2 linked regions of the Arabidopsis thaliana genome follow. The protein of the gene in region 1 purifies or fractionates together with the protein of each later gene. This does not show direct contact. Each region holds a gene or a part of one and is shown on either strand. Other genes may lie near its edges.

Region 1 (10,601 bases):
TGAATCTTCCTCAGCCTTGTGCAACCTCTCTTCCAGGTTAGATATGGTTTTCAAGCATTGTTGATATTGAACAAGAGCAGCTTCCTTGTCAGTTTCGGAACTAACAAGGCTTTGCTTCAGTGCTAGAGTTTCAGCTTCGGCTCTGTTGGCTCGCTCATCTACTTCTCCAGCCTCCTTCTGGGCTAGAGAAATGCGATCCTCCAAATCAGCTATGTTTTGCAGACATTGCTGATACTGAAGAAGGCTGGACTCCTTTTCAACCTCTACTTTGCTGAGGGATTCTCTGAGCGTTTCGACCTCAGCTTCGGCTCTTGTGGCTCGTTCAATAAGCACCCTAGAGTCCTCTTGTGCACGAGATACCTCAGACTCCAAATTAGACAGTTTCTCCAAATTCTGATCAAACTGAGCTAAGCTAGCTTCCTTTTCAGCCTGCACTTTAGAAAGAGCATCTTTTAAAGCCACAATTTCAGCCTCAGCTTTGCTTGCGCGTTCAGATTCTGAAAGAACCTTAGCATTTATTTCTTTTCCATCAACATTATTGAAATTCAGTCCTTTCCTTGCCTTTGCAGTTTTAAAACCTTTCCCGCTACTCACAGACTGAGGGTCTTCCATGAAGGCTATATTGCGCTTAACGGTACTCAAATGAGAGGAAGAAATCCCAAAAGCACCTTTTCGTAAATCATCTGGGTAAACAGGAGCTCGGATAGGTGGATAACTGTCAGGCGTTTGTGGATCAAAACCATCGGTGGAAGAACCGAGAGGTGACTCCTCACCAAACATCATAGGGTCTTGGTTTGGGAAGGCTTCAGCCATAGTCTGCTGAGCATGACGAATAACACCGGTGGCATGATCGTATCTTTCAGCCAAAGCACGATATGCTCGATAAAACTCCTCAACCAGTTTCATAAGCTCAGGCCGCTTCTTGTAATACATTTCCGCTCGCCTAGCAAAAGAGTCAGCATCTTCTTCAATAACCTTGATCATTTGCTTGACTTTACTATCCATATCTGTCAACAAAAATAGAAACATGTAAGCAGATCGCATACAAAGTATCTTGCATGACACAAAACTGAACTAAAAGTAAAAGAAATTTGTCACGATGGAAATGACCTTTCCCGTGGGAAATACAAGGGACGTTAAAACAAGAAAATCACATACCTGTAAGATTCTCCTGAAGCCATTTCGAGTTCTTGGGGCTTATGTGACTATCCCACCACCAAGAATAGCGTTTAGAGTTACCATTCACAACAGCAGTCATTTTTCCCGGCAAAATCACACAAAAATTATGAGGATATTAGAACACTCCGGAACCAAGTCTCTCTCAAAGCCAAGTACACCAAATTCCTCTGTAAAAAAATCCTAACTTAAGAAGACGAAGAAGAAGAAGAAAATAGCAAGGGTTAAGCTTTGATAATAATGAACAAGTTCAACAGTCATATAAAAGACAAATACAGAAGAAAACAAAAGAAAAAATAGAAACGAATTACCACTAAGTCAATGAAGGCCAAATTCGAGACAAAAATAATTAACTAGCCAAATCCAGTAGTAACCTGGTCAGAAAACATATCAAACAATTCATTACAGATGAAAAATTGGATCAGCATAAATCAATTCGTCTTTGGAAATTAGACGAGAATCCTAGGGAAGAATAGCAAGTGAAACCACATGATCTTACAGGAATTAGAGGTTATAGTAACGCACTTAGTCGGAAACTGAAATTAGCTACACAGGTTAAATCTACAAAGCGAATCTAACACTAGTGAAATCAGGTCCAAAAGCAAGAATTCTGTGAGGCTTACCGGAAATAATACTTGTACTACAAAAATCAGAAATCTTCGGATCAGCTTTCGCTTTCACTTCTTCTTCTTCTTCTTCTTCTCATCTCATTTTCTTCATCTAGATCTCTCTCTCTTTCTCTCTCCAGGCGTTTTTCAGCTCTGGTTCCTACTTTTTACGTTGTGAAGAAGAAGAATTGTTTAGGTAAGCTTTTAAATGACGATATTACCCTCCAGTACAGTTCTCACAGATGTTCTGTTTCATTATTTTAATTCACTTGTTGCGTGACTTTGCCTCCTTGGGATCGCCTTCGCTGCCAACTTAAAAAAAAACACGACTTTCATGTCCGAAAGAAAATATTCTTTTATCGAACTACAACTAAATACAGTATGACATTTTATTTGATTTCTTTATTTTTCAATCTGATACTTCCCATTTACCCCTGATTTATATCAAGTCTGCAGTTCACTTTTTCTTTTTCTATACCTGTCTGCTCAAGAACTAAAATGATTTTGTAATTTTAATACATTTTATTATCCGGAATAACAAAGTATTAAATCACGAAAGATGATTTAAAAAAAAAAAAAAAGTATTAAATACTAGTAATGATAAGGAGGCTGACAAGAGATAAGTGACAAAGACAGGGAGGTCTTGGACGGTGAGCTCTCGGTCCACTTTCGTCACCCTTTGTTTTTTTCTCCACGTTCGCTTTTAGATTCGACTTATTGCGATCTTGCGTGTCAAACTTTTTCCAATCATCTAAAAGTTGAGTCGGAGTTAGAGTTACGTTGTTCATAACTTTTATTTAAACTTTGCAAGAAAAAAGTATATACGATATATGGTGGCTTATCGTTATGTATCATTTCATTCAGCTTTCTAAAATTTATAATTTAAAAAATAATATTATAATTAAGATTAAAAACGATAAATTCAAATTTAATTGACTGAGAATGTTTTTGGTGTTTGGTATGCATTACTTGTTTGACACAACTTATATATCATCCTTTATTTGTTACTCAAACGAAGATTCACGAAACGGACAAATAAACTATCCACCTATTGGGAACAAATAGGTTGTCTGACTTTTAAGCATCACAAACGGTTATATACTATTTTACATAAACGTTTCGAGTGTGTTAAGATTCATTTAATTGTAAACTAAATAATCAACAGCGTGACTTCAAATCAAATTGTCTTCTTATAAGTTTATTACTAACATATATTCTTGTTCAGTTTGTTGCCAATATTGAATTAATTAAAAGGATTGTGTATATTTTCCTTAATTGTATTGTTTTTTTTGTCGGTTATAGAAATGCAAAACAAAAAGAAATGAATAGAGGAGTCAACACTCAACAGCCACTACCTAACAAACACTTTTAATAGTTCCAGCTCGTATCGTTTTTCATGCCTCCAAAGATTAATTATGATTTTCAAAATCATTTATAACTATCCCTCCACATGTCTTTAATAGTCAAATTGATCTTATATTAAAAACTCTATATAGTAAGACCAAGTGAATTTTAAAATTACATCAATGCGATTTATATGGATGATTCAAAAGTATTTATATTTCAAAACTGAAACAAGGCCTTGCAGCCTTTCTTAATGCTTCGTGCAGATAGGCCCATTAATAAAACAATAAAGCCCATACTTGTAAAATCAGGTAAAGACGCAACGCAAGCGGCACATCAGACACATATCCATTCCGACCAAACCATGATAAAGTATATGCCACGTCACTATTCATCGTCGATTAGTTTTTACGAAATTGACCAACATACCCTCGTTGTTTGGTTTTATCTACAACGCAGTTGCTGAGTCACACTTGTTTTCTTCACTCGGAAAATTCGAAAATCGAGATCAAATGTCGATGATGACGGTGTGGGCACTTCGACGGAATGTTCGTCGGAAAAATCACTCGATGCTCGTGAGATATATTTCCGGCTCCGCATCGATGAAGCCTAAGGAGCAATGTATTGAGAAGATTTTGGTGGCGAACAGAGGCGAGATTGCTTGCCGGATCATGAGAACGGCGAAGCGTTTAGGGATTCAGACCGTTGCGGTTTACAGTGACGCTGATAGAGATTCGCTCCATGTGAAATCTGCAGACGAAGCGGTACGGATTGGCCCGCCCTCGGCTAGACTTAGTTACCTCAGCGGTGTGACTATCATGGAGGCAGCGGCTCGGACTGGTGCACAGGTATGAGTTTTGATCCCCGAAAAAGAATAATCGTGTTCTTGTAGCTGATGTCTTCTTTGAATTATATAACTAGGCAATACACCCTGGCTATGGGTTCTTGTCAGAAAGTTCTGACTTTGCCCAACTCTGTGAGGATTCGGGTCTAACATTCATTGGACCTCCAGCATCTGCTATTAGAGACATGGGTGATAAAAGGTACCATTACAGGCCTCCTATTACGACTTGCTTCTTCTTTGCACAAGTTGTTATTTTATTCTCTCTTGAATAGTTTCTGAGGACATGTCCCTCATGTGTATTTATGAAGTGCATCCAAGAGAATTATGGGAGCTGCTGGAGTTCCTCTCGTGCCTGGATATCATGGCCATGAGCAAGATATTGATCATATGAAGTCAGAAGCTGAAAAGATTGGATACCCTATAATAATCAAGCCAACACATGGAGGTGGGGGGAAGGTATGTTATGATATACGGCATTGATTTTTTCCAATAGATGGCTTTTTGTAATAGTCAAAGTTTGATACCCTTTTAAAATCTATTGGTTTCGAAGCAAAGTAAGCTCTTGTTTTTTAGGGAATGAGGATAGTGCAAAGTGGGAAGGATTTTGCTGACTCGTTTTTGGGTGCCCAACGTGAAGCTGCTGCTTCTTTTGGCGTTAACACTATTCTTCTCGAGAAATACATTACTCGACCGAGGCATATAGAAGTCCAGGTAGTGAGTCGTGAAATTTCATGTTGTTTTTTTTTTCATGAAAGGCTGGTTATGGCGCATTGAAACCCAGTTATTGTATATAGAAAGAGGACAAATGTTAACCTTAACTTGTATTTCATTTTTGGCGTACTCATTGAGTAACCATTTCTGGCTTTTCTCCTTTTTTTCTAGCATTTTAACTAATTTTGCTTCGGTGTTTCCACTGCTTTTAGATATTTGGTGACAAACATGGAAATGTTCTTCATCTATACGAAAGGGATTGCAGTGTGCAAAGAAGACACCAAAAGATTATTGAAGAAGCTCCTGCGGTAATGACCATATTTCTTTCTGTTATTGATTCATATCTTTTCTAGCATAAATGGATGTGGGTCTGATTGAATACTGGTGCAGCCTAATATATCTGAAAAGTTCCGCGCAAACTTAGGCCAAGCTGCTGTCTCTGCGGCACGGGTATCCCTTTAAATCCTGCTTTCATCTTTTACAGATTTCATGGTCTTCAGTGAGAAAGCTTAGCCGAAAATGTTTCATTACAATGCTCTGTATATTGCATTCATTCATAGTATGCTCCGGGTGTCTCTATTTTATATAGTGCATTACTAATATTGATCATGAGTTATTTGATCAAAGTTTACTATTGTTAATGTTTAGTTCAATTGATATGTAGTCTTTTGAAACCTCTTCTTGCTAGGCTATCTTTCACTTCAACTTCCACAAGAAGCGCTTATATTCTGTTACCTTCTGATATTTAAAGGCAGTTGGATATTATAATGCTGGGACGGTGGAATTTATAGTTGACACCGAGTCTGATCAATTTTATTTTATGGAAATGAACACCCGTCTACAGGTGCTTCTTTGATCTATATGTTTATTAAATTTAACTCGATAAACATTTGGCTTTCCAAAGGAACACTGATGATCCTTCTTAGGTCGAACATCCTGTAACTGAGATGATTGTTGGTCAAGATCTTGTGGAATGGCAAATTCGGGTTGCCAATGGGGAACCTCTCCCCTTAAGCCAATCCGAGGTGCCAATGTCAGGTATGGCTCTTCCTCCTAAAAATAAATGGAAAATAGTGGTTTGGTTTACTCTCATTCGCTATTCCGTACTGAATCCATGATTTTTCAAGATGTTACTTGTGGCAGAAAAAAATCTGAACAACATGACCCACATATGTATCTTCTTGGCAGGTCATGCCTTTGAGGCCAGGATATATGCTGAAAACGTTCCAAAAGGATTTCTTCCTGCAACTGGGGTCCTCAATCATTATCGCCCTGTTGCAGTCTCACCATCAGGTGAAGTACAAAATTGTGTATACAACTGTTTTTTCCTATCTTATAGAAAGTTTTTTTTTCTCTCGTATATATCTGACCCTGTTTTTGTCCTGTTGTTTACCTCTCTCATGTTGGAATTTGTCTGAAACAGTTCGGGTTGAAACTGGAGTTGAGCAAGGAGACACTGTTAGCATGCACTATGATCCTATGATTGCAAAGCTTGTTGTCTGGGGAGGTAATCGTGGCGAAGCTTTAGTGAAACTGAAGGATTGCTTGTCTAACTTTCAGGTAGATTCCCTGAGAACCTGTATTTTGGAGCTCTCTGCAATTTTAATTATACCTCAGCATAACTATAAATCTTCAAGGCCTTATGGTTCCATTGTGAATTTCTTGAGAAACCTTTTTGAGTTTCTCGCACATCGCTTCTTAGTTACCACAATAGTTCAGTAATTACATGGTATGTTGTTGACAGGTAGCAGGTGTACCTACGAACATAAATTTCCTTCAAAAACTTGCTAGTCATAAGGAGTTTGCAGTGGGCAATGTAGAAACTCATTTTATTGAGCACCATAAAAGTGATCTATTTGCTGACGAAAGCAATCCAGCTGCAACAGAAGTGGCATACAAGGCAGTCAAGCATAGTGCAGCATTGGTGGCTGCTTGTATCTCCACAATCGAGCATTCTACTTGGAATGAAAGTAATCATGGTCAGTTCGCATGGGTCTAGTCTCTTCTTCACAACTTACATGATTCCCGAGCATGTCTTAATTTATTATGTGTAAACTCATCCAGGGAAAGTTCCATCGATATGGTATTCGAATCCTCCTTTTAGGGTCCATCATGAAGCCAAACAAACCATTGAGCTAGAATGGAATAATGAATGCGAGGGAACTGGCTCTAACCTCATATCACTCGGTGTAAGATATCAACCAGATGGAAGCTATCTCATTGAGGTTTAAAACTTCACATCCTCCTTTTAGATTCACTTTTAGACTCATATACTTCATTTATGAGTCTTATAATTGGAATTCTTATGGTTTGTCAACATTCCACGAGACAGGAAGGCAATGATTCTCCAAGTTTAGAACTCAGAGTAACACGAGCAGGAAAGTGCGATTTTAGAGTTGAAGCGGCCGGATTGAGCATGAATGTTAGTCTAGCTGCGTACTTGAAGGTAAATCATTAGCATTATGTTCAAGCAACTCTTAACAGCTCTCATACTCTTTCTGTCTCTCTCGTAATTGCTGCTTATGATGTATGTTTGGTTACAGGATGGTTATAAGCATATCCATATATGGCATGGTTCAGAACACCATCAGTTCAAGCAGAAGGTAGGAATCGAATTCTCTGAAGATGAAGAAGGTGTCCAACACAGAACCAGCTCCGAAACATCATCACACCCTCCAGGAACCATTGTGGCCCCCATGGCTGGTTTGGTAGTCAAGGTCCTTGTCGAAAACGAAGCCAAAGTAGATCAAGGTCAACCTATATTAGTCCTAGAGGCAATGAAGATGGAGGTTAGTATATAAACATCTTCATATACCATAATATAAGAAACATTTAAGTAATTATCGTTTTATTCTCGTTCAGCACGTTGTGAAAGCACCATCCTCTGGAAGCATACAGGACCTCAAAGTTAAAGCAGGCCAACAGGTTTCAGATGGCAGTGCTCTATTCAGGATCAAAGGTTAGTGGTAATTTAGTACCAGCATTTTTTCCTTTATACATTTCATATCATCCTTTTGAAAATTTCATCCAACTCCACCAATTTCAATATCTTTGCAGGGTAAATAACACGATTTGCGATTGATCAACCATTCGCTGGCTTACGCGAAACCTGAACTAATAAGCATTTGGGTGTGTATATAAACCGAAATCTTACAAAAGATAAATAAATCCAAAGCTTTATAAATGTTTTTACTGCCTCTATATAGATCTGTGCGGCTAGAGATTGAAGGTAACTTCTTAGTATACAAAATGGTGATTACATTAATAATCAAGATAGTCCGAGCCATTTCTTGAATACTAAACCAGCTTCTCTCTTCTTGAGCTGAGACTCGCTCTGAACTTTTGGAGCTTTGCCTTTATAAGCAGTCTTGTGATACTTCAAGAAGAGCATCCGATACTTGTACTTATCAACAAACATATTTTTTTTCTCCATCATCTCCACAACTTCATTAGCCCGGGAAAAAAACCCGCCTCTAACAAATGTATAAAGCACCGCATCAAGCAACTCCTGATCAAACTTCATCGATGAAGTAGCTGCAGCTATGGATTTCATTTCTCCCCATAACTCAGTGACCTCTGTGTATTTACTCCCAATGGCTGCATATCCTGTGACCATAGAATGAAAAGTTTGAGCATTTGGCGAATGCCCAAGACTTCTCATCCTCTTTAATGCCTTCTCTGCATCCTGCATCAAACCTTTCTTGCTAAAAAAATGGATCACATTGTTCCAATCATGAACACCAGCATCCAAACTCTGCACTTCTCTGATTTCTCTCAAGAGTTTTGACATGAGTCCCGCCTCTGCGTTTCCTTCACATCCCTTTAAGAGCTTCTCAAATTTCTGATTTCCGCCTCGTAGTATCTTCGCCTCTTTCATTTCCTTAAACACATTGAGAGCTCCATGAGTATCGTTCTGAATTACTTGAGACTGGATTAAAGCTTCATAACAGCTTGAGTCTAATTGAATCCCTGCCTTTTGAGCATCTCTAAGGAGTGATGTCACTTCTCTAGTTTGGTTTGTGTTGCAGTAAGCTTTGAGGAGCGAAGAATAAACCGAAGAACCAGTTCTTACCCCAGCCATACGCATCTCGTCGAGTAGATCATGCGCCTGATCCAACATGCCTAGAGAAATACATGCGTTGATAACATTAATCAGCATCGAGTTATCACTAGAAACAGGAGAGTCTTCATGTTCTGCCTTCAACAGAAACTTTGCTAACTCCTTCATCTTTCCACTTTCCAGGAATGCCTTTGCTAATTTCACATAAATCTCTTCCGTCGGCTGCAGAACACCGCGTTCCGAGGTAATCAATTCGACTTGTACATGCAACTTAGCCAACAATGCACCAAGAACATCCTTTGCCTCAGCTTCAAGTTTCAAAAACTTCCTGTCTCTAGAGAACTCATCATAGGGAATCATACTGTGAATAGAAACCACTCGAGTTTCGGGATTATCGTGTTCTTTAACCTCTGATCCTTTTCCAGATACTCTTTTGGTGTATAATCTACCATCATCTGCAGTATCAAATTCAAGAATGGCGGCTCCAAGTGAGTTCCTTGCTACCTTTCCTCTTCTTAGCATTTCCAAAACCATTTTCGAAGCAGATTCAAGATCCCCGAATTTTAAGTGACACATAAGCAAGCAGTTATAGAATTGCCAAAACTGAGACTCATTCAAGTTGCAAGCTTCATCTATATGCCTTTGAAGCTTCCTTAGTTCCTCTCTCCGCCCATTTCTTTCGTATATATGAGCCATTATTACTAACAAGTTAGCATCAGCTTTAACACCGATCTTCGGTATCATATCAAGAAGCTGTTCAGCTTTTCGGGTTGTCCCAAACAACAAACAACCCGCCAAAGCAACGTTCAACACCTGAGTATTAGGCTTCATCGCAAGCAAAGGTGCGTTGCTCTTCTTCCGTGGATCAACTCTGTTATTATGAAACAAATAACCAATCTCAAGAACCAACTCAGCAGAAAGATAACTTCCTGATCCCGCAAGAGACATATGAGCCAAAACCGCAGACCAAGCACTCACATGAGGATACTCTTCTGTCTCAACTAGCTTCCTCAAGATCGTTGATGCAGGAACAGCCATACCTGACTTGGCAAGAGCCAAGGAGAGATATAGAAGAGGTTCCTTCTCCAGCAAATTCTGTTTACCCTCCTCATAGGCTTGTTCCACTAAACTGTAACCCTTTTGTAGCCAGTTGGAATCAAGACTCTCAGCAAAACAAACCACAACATTGTTAACAACAGATTTTCGCGGAAACCCTTCCATTTGCATATGTTGTTCAAACAATCTCCAAGCTTCATCACATCTATGTTCATCAACTGCAATTTGAATTTCTTCATTGAGTTTAGCAGGATCTCTGGCTTGAAGCAGTATAGATCCAGAAATGCTTGAAATTGCTTCTCTTCTATGGATAGACCATACATCGAATCTGGTACTAGTACGAAACCTAGTTAACACACTGAGGTATTTTGCATTAGACAGAACAGCTTTACCCGCCAAACCATGTTGTAAAGAAGCTTGAGATTGAGTACCTGTAACTTCAATGGCGTGAATAAGAACTCCACGAAACAAAGAACTCAAACGACACTGGTGGAGTGAAACAGGCTGAAGCTTAGTTTTCCTCAATGAAAACATTGAAAGATCTTATTTTTCTTCGTCAATTCGTTAAGACCAATTTGAAGCTCCTCGGCTGGTATGAGGATTTGATGAAAACTGTTTCCCAGTTTCATTTAGACATTTCGTCGAACACTTGGTGCGTGAACTGAACCAGCAAGCTTTGAGCACTAACGTGAGATTAGGAGAAAAAGACAAAAGCTTTCTTGAGAAGACGATGGGTCTTTGACCGTTGATGATGGCAGGTGCGAAGAACCACTAAACCCTAATCACTATTCACTAATCACTA
Region 2 (6,945 bases), on another chromosome or scaffold:
GTTTTGTTGGAGTTTCACTCGTGGAAACCCTAGTACATCTGGAGATTCTCCCTTTGTTCCTCGAGCAGGATCGAGTTCAGGGATCCATGGTTTGCAGCCGAATCCCACTTGGGTTACTCCCCATAATCAATCAAGAATATCAGAAGTTGCTCCGTGGTCTTTATTTCCTAGTATCGAATCTGAATCTGCTACTCATGGTGCTTCTCTTCCATTACTACCCACAGGGCCTTCTGTTTCCTCGAATGAAGCTGCAGCGCCGTCTGGATCTAGTAGTCGTAGTCATCGCTCTCGACAAAGAAGATCGGGATTATTACTGGAAAGGCAAAATGATCATCTCCATTTGCGTCACTTAGGAAGAAGCTTAGCTGCTGATAATGATGGAAGGAACCGGCTGATTTCCGAGGTCTGTATGAACTCTTTAGCAGTTTTAGCTGATGTGGCATCTGTCTCAGTGGAAGTCAATTATTTGTTGATGGTATTTGCTGATACTAGTAATGTCAGTCACTCAGTTGGTACTCTCTTGTTTATTGGCAGATACGGCAGGTGTTGAGTGCCATGCGAAGAGGGGAGAATTTACGGTTTGAGGTATGATTTTGTCACATAACTGATTTCAATCATTCCCTCTTAATTACAGTTAACAGGTAAAATCACATCGCACTTTTTGCCTTCAAGTGTTAGTTTTAGATCTTCAGAATGTTGGTATACTATATGTGATCTCTGTCGACATCTAAGTTGTGTACCATCTTTTTAGCTGTATCGTATCTACTGCTGCTAATATAATTGGTCTCACATTGTAGTAAACGTAGTGAGAAGCAGCAATTCTCTATCAACATATCTTATTGGCATTTGTATAAACAAAACGTAGTGCAAGTTCATCCCCAATAGCATTTTATTTTTGGATCATGATTTTTCATTTGGTGATCTGATAGGATTATATGGTATTCGATCCACTGATCTACCAAGGTATGGCCGAGATGCATGATAGGCATCGGGATATGCGTCTTGATGTTGATAACATGTCATATGAGGTGAGTGTTCATTTTTCTTTTACCATTTTATCTCTATGTACCAATTTTTTTAAACATGGTTCGTTTGGGAATGTAGGAGCTATTGGCACTTGGGGAACGCATAGGAGATGTGAGCACTGGTCTAAGCGAAGAGGTGATCCTGAAAGTAATGAAACAGCACAAACATACATCATCCGCTGCTGGCTCTCACCAGGACATGGAGCCTTGCTGTGTCTGTCAGGTAAGACATGAAATTACTCTTACACCAAGGTCTTTTATGCGGCTCCTTGGACCTGTTTATTTGTCTCTTATGGCTGTTTGTTTGCAACAAATTCACTTCTTTACCGTAGTAGATGTGGTCAAGCCAAAACAGGAGTAATGTATTATCACGTAGATAGAAACCTGCCACAATTTATCACATTTTATCTTGACATTACACTAAACCGTCCATGTGTGTAACATGGGTTGGTTAGGTTCATCTATATTCCCATTTTTGAGCTGATACTCAGCTTTAACTCGGAAGCTGATGTGAAAACCTTGATGCATTTTTAACAGGAAGAGTATGCAGAAGGAGATGATCTTGGAACACTGGGATGTGGTCATGAATTTCACACTGCCTGCGTCAAGCAATGGCTGATGCTCAAGAATCTCTGCCCAATTTGTAAGACTGTGGCTTTATCGACATAAAAGCACCGTTCCTTCATCCTCGTCCTCTTTCCCTATCTCCTCCCAACCTATTGTGATCCTTGAAATGAAAGAAAAAAGGAGAAAAAGAGATCGCGTAAGAGGTCGCTTCTGTCTTACCCGCATTGATATCAAGAGAGAGTTGAAACAAGGAAGGGCCTGTGATGAATGATCGATCCTTGTGTGGAAGCATCATGTTGAATTACATAGGAGAAGAGAATAATAACTATCAATTGACTCAATCTTTTGAATTGTTGGATTATGATGATAAGTCATTGTTTATTGTCAGTCAACTCAAATCTGAGGTACCAATTCTGTATTTGAGAGTGTCATTGCTCTTTAGCTTTAATATTTTTCAGGTAATTTTTGTTGATTCGTTATCGTTTGATTGTTGCGGTAAATGAATTCTATTGTGAAAAAGGGAAAAAATGTATTTGGAAGAGACACGCTCGGTGGGGATCGAACCCACAATCGTCTGATTAGAAGTCAGACGCCTTATCCATTGGGCCACGAGCGCCTTTTTGTTGTTCGTTATCAATCAAATTAATTAGTAAATAAATTAAGTTTCGAACCAGTCAACGATCTGTTGTAGTTGGCCATATTTCTCCTCCATTGACAATCAACCAGTTTTGGTAGCTCATATACAAAAGTTTATACATTTATTTGAAAATGTTTATTGGTTAAAAGTTGTTTACATTCTAAAGACACCAAATCGAGTATCTTCTAAAGGACGGTTTAAAGCAGCAGAGAGACAAAGTCCCAAAACCTTTCTGGTATCACAAGGATCAATCACTCCATCATCCCAAAGTCTCGCCGTCGAGTAGTAAGGATTTGCCTCTCTCTCATACGCATCCACCGTTTTCTTCTTGAACGCTTCTTCCTCTTCCTCAGTCCACTGCATCACAAAGAAAAACGCAAATTCATCAATGTTGAACAAACAGAGTTGAAATCGGTTTAGAGAATGTTTTATTCAGTACCTTGATTCCTTGTCTCTTCTTGGTAGCCCTTTCAATCTGAGTTAAAACACCTGCAGCCTGCAAAGTTTTCGCCAAGCCAATAACAACGTCAAACAAAACCAAACTGAATTTTGTTCTGCTACACTAAGATTATAAACACATTTTGATTCAGTTTGGTTTCGGTTTAAACATTTCGGTGCATTCTGGTTTACCTGAGCGCCTCCCATGATGCCAATTCTGGCGTTTGGCCAAATGAACATAAAATCTGGACTGTATGCACGCCCACACATTGCATAGTTTCCAGCACCAAAGCTTGCACCCGTTATGATTGTAATCTTTGGTACCTGAATGAAGACCCGAGCTTAGAATCTGGCTTATCCTAATCAAATCTCTCAGACTCTTAACCAAGAATTAAACATACCTTAGCACAGGATACTGCCATCACCATTTTCGCTCCAGCTTTTGCAATGCCGTTGGCCTCAGCTCTAGAACCCACCTATAAGCAAAAACGGAGCAAGTAAGATAGATAGAGACACTCTTATATAGCCAAATGTGAGAACACAACACAAACACTACAATTACCATAAAGCCTGTGATGTTTTGGAGGAAAACAAGAGGAATTTTACGTTGAGAACATAATTCGATGAAGTGAGCTCCTTTTAGTGCAGATTCATTGAACAGTATGCCATTGTTCCCGATAATACCCACCGTCTGACCATAAATTCTAGCAAAACCAGTCACAAGCGTCTGCCAAAAAGAAGTTCCACATAAGAAAGTAAAAAGGTAACATTTGGATACAAAATAAGGCGAATAACATTATCTCACAGTGCCGTATTGTTTCTTGAACTCGTCAAATTCACTTCCATCAACAATCCGGGCAATAATAGACCGCACATCAAATTGCTGTTTGTGATCTACTGGAGCAATGGAGCGAAGCTCGTTTATGTCATAGAGCGGTTCCTTGTATACAAGATTTTTGCTTCCAAATGTTCCTTCCATCCCTTGTTTTGCAGCCATGTGCAAATTCTTGACAATGTTTCTTCCAATAGCGAGGCCATGTAGCTCGTCTGCAAGCTTAGAGCATCTTAAGGTCTAAACTCTAAAACACGATTATTGTTTTCATATTAAATTGCAGAAAGAGATGAATATATGTACCTTGAGCAAAATAATCTGACACACCGGACACAGTACAGTGAACAGTGGCGCCTCCTAAATCCTCAGCTGAAACTTCTTCTCCTGTAGCAGCCTGTTCAAAAGCTTTTTCATTTAGCGTTAGATTCTCAAGAAACTACTTAAGACTAGAACGAGAGAGAGAGAGAGAGAAAGTAACTTGAGAAAATTGACCTTGACAAGTGGCGGTCCTGCTAAAAATATGGTACCATTCCCTTTGACCATTACACTTTCATCAGCCATGGCAGGAATGTAGGCACCACCAGCAGTGCAGGAGCCTAAAACAATGGCGATTTGTGGAATTCCATCAGATGACATAACCGATTCGTTGTAGAAAACCCTACCAAAATTCTCCTTGTCAGGGAAAACCTCAGCCTGTTTTGGAAGGTAAGCACCACCACTATCAACAAGATATATGCAAGGAAGTCTGCACCGAGCAGCAATCTCTTGTGCTCTGAGATGTTTCTTGATAGTAATGGGATAATACGTCCCTCCTTTAACTGTAGGATCATTTGCCATAAACATACAAATACGTCCATGGATTGGTCCTATCCCTGTGATTATCCCACCTGAAGGCAAAGGCTCCTCATACAATTCATGTCCTGCAAGCTGCAAACATATTCATATCCAGTAAGCAGCAACATCAAACAAGTTTTTAATCAATGCCAATTCCCTAATCTTCTTTTGTTTTCCTAACTTATGCAAGTACTAATCAACAATAAACTCTAGATTGCAAATGTGCATTAAATCCAAACAAAGAAACAAAACAAAACCTGAGAGAGCTCCAAAAAGGAAGAACCAGGATCAAGTAGCCGATCAATCCTTTCTCTAGGCAAAAGCTTGTTTCTGCTTCTGTTCCTCTTAACCGCTTCCTCTCCACCTCCGGCCAATACCTACAAATCTCCACCGAGATACACTTATATCATTCATCTGCAAACAATTAAGACATCAATCGATAAATGAGATGGCTTTACCTTTTTGATATGGGAACGAAGCTCCGATAAGATCCCTTCCATGGCGATCGAATTGCTAGAAAAAGCCTCCGAATTTCTGTCGACTCCGTCCGGTAAAATGCCCACGCAGAAACCCTTTTGTAGTCCCCGGAAAGTTCGAAAAGGATCGGGACGAGAATCGGTTCCTGGTCGGATCCGCCATTGTTGAATACTAGTAAGCTCTTTCGAAGCTGAAACAACTCTTCTCCCCAAAATCCTTAACATTTTCGTCTCACTGTCTCTCGAAACCGATTTCACTTAAAAGACATATTTATACACACTGTTGTGACTGACTACTTGATTGTCTGTAATTCATATCTCAAACCAAAGAGAAAAGAGGAGATAAGCTCAAGGAAACAAAAATACTATTTTTATAAATCGTTTTCAAAATTCGTCTCATTTCTTTAGAGAATCGTGTGTGACAATCTCACAGTGGAAAGCAAAAAAAATGTTACATTTTCGACAAAAATTGGAGGAAAAAATTGAAGCTTTATCCAATCAAGCAATAAGACAACGATACGACGACGTTTTTAGCTTTCTTCAAGAAGTGTATACTAGTAGATAAGACGCAACTCACTCTCCGTCTAGCGGCGGGATTATCAGACTGCTGCATTAGCTATCGTCAATGGGGTCTTTAGGATATTCGATTTCAATGATAGCTTCGCTGAGTCCAACTTTGATGGAGTCAAGGCTTATCTCTTCGATGGGTTGTGTCTCGATGACTGTTGCTCCTAGTTTTTCTTCAGTCTCTGTAGTTTCTTCTTCACTAGGGACAACAAGGAGGGACCGAACTTTAAAGCTTAGATCTTCCATGTCTCCGGGTATGGTAACAACGCTAGATTCCGATGTTGGCGTCGGGTCTTCTGCAACTACTAAAAAGGTTTCTCCTTTTTTCTTGTTATCTATAACTAAAATTGTCCAGCTTGTTTGTGTAGAGAGATTGAGATTGGAGATAACTGAGAAACTATGTAGGTGCTTGTTCCAATTGGATATGGGACGGAGGAAATAGAAGCTGTTGTGTTAGTTGATGTTTTACGGCGAGCTGGTGCTGATGTTACTGTTGCTTCTGTGGAGCAGAAGCTAGAGGTTGAAGGATCCTCAGGGACCAGATTGCTTGCTGATGTTCTTATCTCGAAATGTGCTGATCAAGTTTATGATTTAGTTGCTTTGCCGGTAAGTTCCTCTTTTGCTGATTCATAAACTATAAGTGAGGACAGTCTTTGAGCTTTACTTTAATGGTTTTGTGTATTTGTTTCTGGATGGTCTGGAAATACAAATTGTGAAGGGAGGCATGCCTGGTGCTGTTAGGTTAAGAGACTGTGAAATTCTCGAGAAGATCATGAAGAGACAAGCTGAAGATAAGCGGTTATACGGGGCTATATCCATGGCTCCAGCTATTACTCTTCTTCCATGGGGACTTTTGACAAGAAAGAGGGTATAAATCAAAATCTTTGATGTCATCTAGTAACTAATCTTTTCTCTTCATGTTTTGATTTCTAAACTTGGTGTAGTTCATCGTGCAAGACAACGGGACATCCTGCTTTTTTCGGGAAGCTTCCTACATTCTGGGCTGTTAAGACAAACATTCAGATTTCAGGGGAGCTTACAACTAGCCGTGGACCCGGCACTTCTTTCCAGTTTGCTCTTTCCTTGGCGGAGCAGCTCTTCGGAGAAACCACAGCCAAGTCAATTGAAGAGTTTCTGGTCTATATCCTATTCACTTATACTTTTCTGGATCATGCTTTTCTTTATCCTTCTCGATATGCAACAATCTTCTCATAGTCTTCTTTTCCAATCATTTCTCCAGCTTCTGCGTGATGGTTACCAGAATCCTAAGAACAAAGAGTTCAATAGCATTGACTGGTCTTTAGACCACACACCTCGTGTAAGTCGCATGAAGCTATGATCAATGCATTTCCATGTAATCTCATGATATATGATGAGAACTGATCTTGGTTTTATCTTCTATACCTATGGAGTTTTTTCTTTTATCCATTCCTTCTCCTTTCACGCTCAGTTAGTTTTGAAAGATGAAAAAGTTAGCTGATTCTAAGAACATTTCATTTTAGTTTGAAAGCTGAGAAACTTGTTTTAATGATGCATCTAAATCCAGGTTCTTATCCCGGTAGCCAACGG

The links. The genes of interacting proteins can lie anywhere in the genome.
Region 2: the proteins of MCCA (region 1) and MCCB fractionate together in Arabidopsis thaliana (co-fractionation; one large-scale study listed by BioGRID). This does not show direct contact.

What each region holds. Positions count from the first base shown.
Region 1 is NC_003070.9:736,075-746,675, forward strand, and holds MCCA (methylcrotonyl-CoA carboxylase alpha chain), read left to right. Parts: upstream 1-3,469; 5' UTR 3,470-3,640; coding exon 3,641-3,976; intron 3,977-4,049; coding exon 4,050-4,171; intron 4,172-4,280; coding exon 4,281-4,428; intron 4,429-4,545; coding exon 4,546-4,683; intron 4,684-4,895; coding exon 4,896-4,991; intron 4,992-5,073; coding exon 5,074-5,133; intron 5,134-5,434; coding exon 5,435-5,527; intron 5,528-5,609; coding exon 5,610-5,721; intron 5,722-5,871; coding exon 5,872-5,976; intron 5,977-6,106; coding exon 6,107-6,243; exon of another isoform or gene 6,244-6,427; coding exon 6,428-6,662; intron 6,663-6,747; coding exon 6,748-6,908; intron 6,909-7,015; coding exon 7,016-7,129; intron 7,130-7,226; coding exon 7,227-7,472; intron 7,473-7,545; coding exon 7,546-7,642; intron 7,643-7,740; coding exon 7,741-7,745; 3' UTR 7,746-7,951; downstream 7,952-10,601. Other genes in the region: NET1D (kinase interacting (KIP1-like) family protein), read right to left, coding at 1-1,007, 1,159-1,258; AT1G03100 (Pentatricopeptide repeat (PPR) superfamily protein), read right to left, coding at 7,952-10,333. UniProt on the Arabidopsis thaliana protein: Biotin-attachment subunit of the 3-methylcrotonyl-CoA carboxylase, an enzyme that catalyzes the conversion of 3-methylcrotonyl-CoA to 3-methylglutaconyl-CoA, a critical step for leucine and isovaleric acid catabolism.
Region 2 is NC_003075.7:16,299,387-16,306,331, reverse strand, and holds MCCB (3-methylcrotonyl-CoA carboxylase), read right to left. Parts: upstream 5,306-6,945; 5' UTR 5,035-5,305; coding exon 4,792-5,034; intron 4,711-4,791; coding exon 4,591-4,710; intron 4,427-4,590; coding exon 3,992-4,426; intron 3,894-3,991; coding exon 3,803-3,893; intron 3,715-3,802; coding exon 3,473-3,714; intron 3,395-3,472; coding exon 3,230-3,394; intron 3,144-3,229; coding exon 3,069-3,143; intron 2,992-3,068; coding exon 2,860-2,991; intron 2,726-2,859; coding exon 2,669-2,725; intron 2,587-2,668; coding exon 2,383-2,586; 3' UTR 2,233-2,382; downstream 1-2,232. Other genes in the region: MBR2 (RING/U-box superfamily protein), read left to right, coding at 1-403, 535-585, 930-1,028, 1,105-1,248, 1,563-1,694; DJ1C (Class I glutamine amidotransferase-like superfamily protein), read left to right, coding at 5,435-5,689, 5,782-5,982, 6,095-6,244, 6,334-6,513, 6,617-6,694, 6,923-6,945. UniProt on the Arabidopsis thaliana protein: Carboxyltransferase subunit of the 3-methylcrotonyl-CoA carboxylase, an enzyme that catalyzes the conversion of 3-methylcrotonyl-CoA to 3-methylglutaconyl-CoA, a critical step for leucine and isovaleric acid catabolism.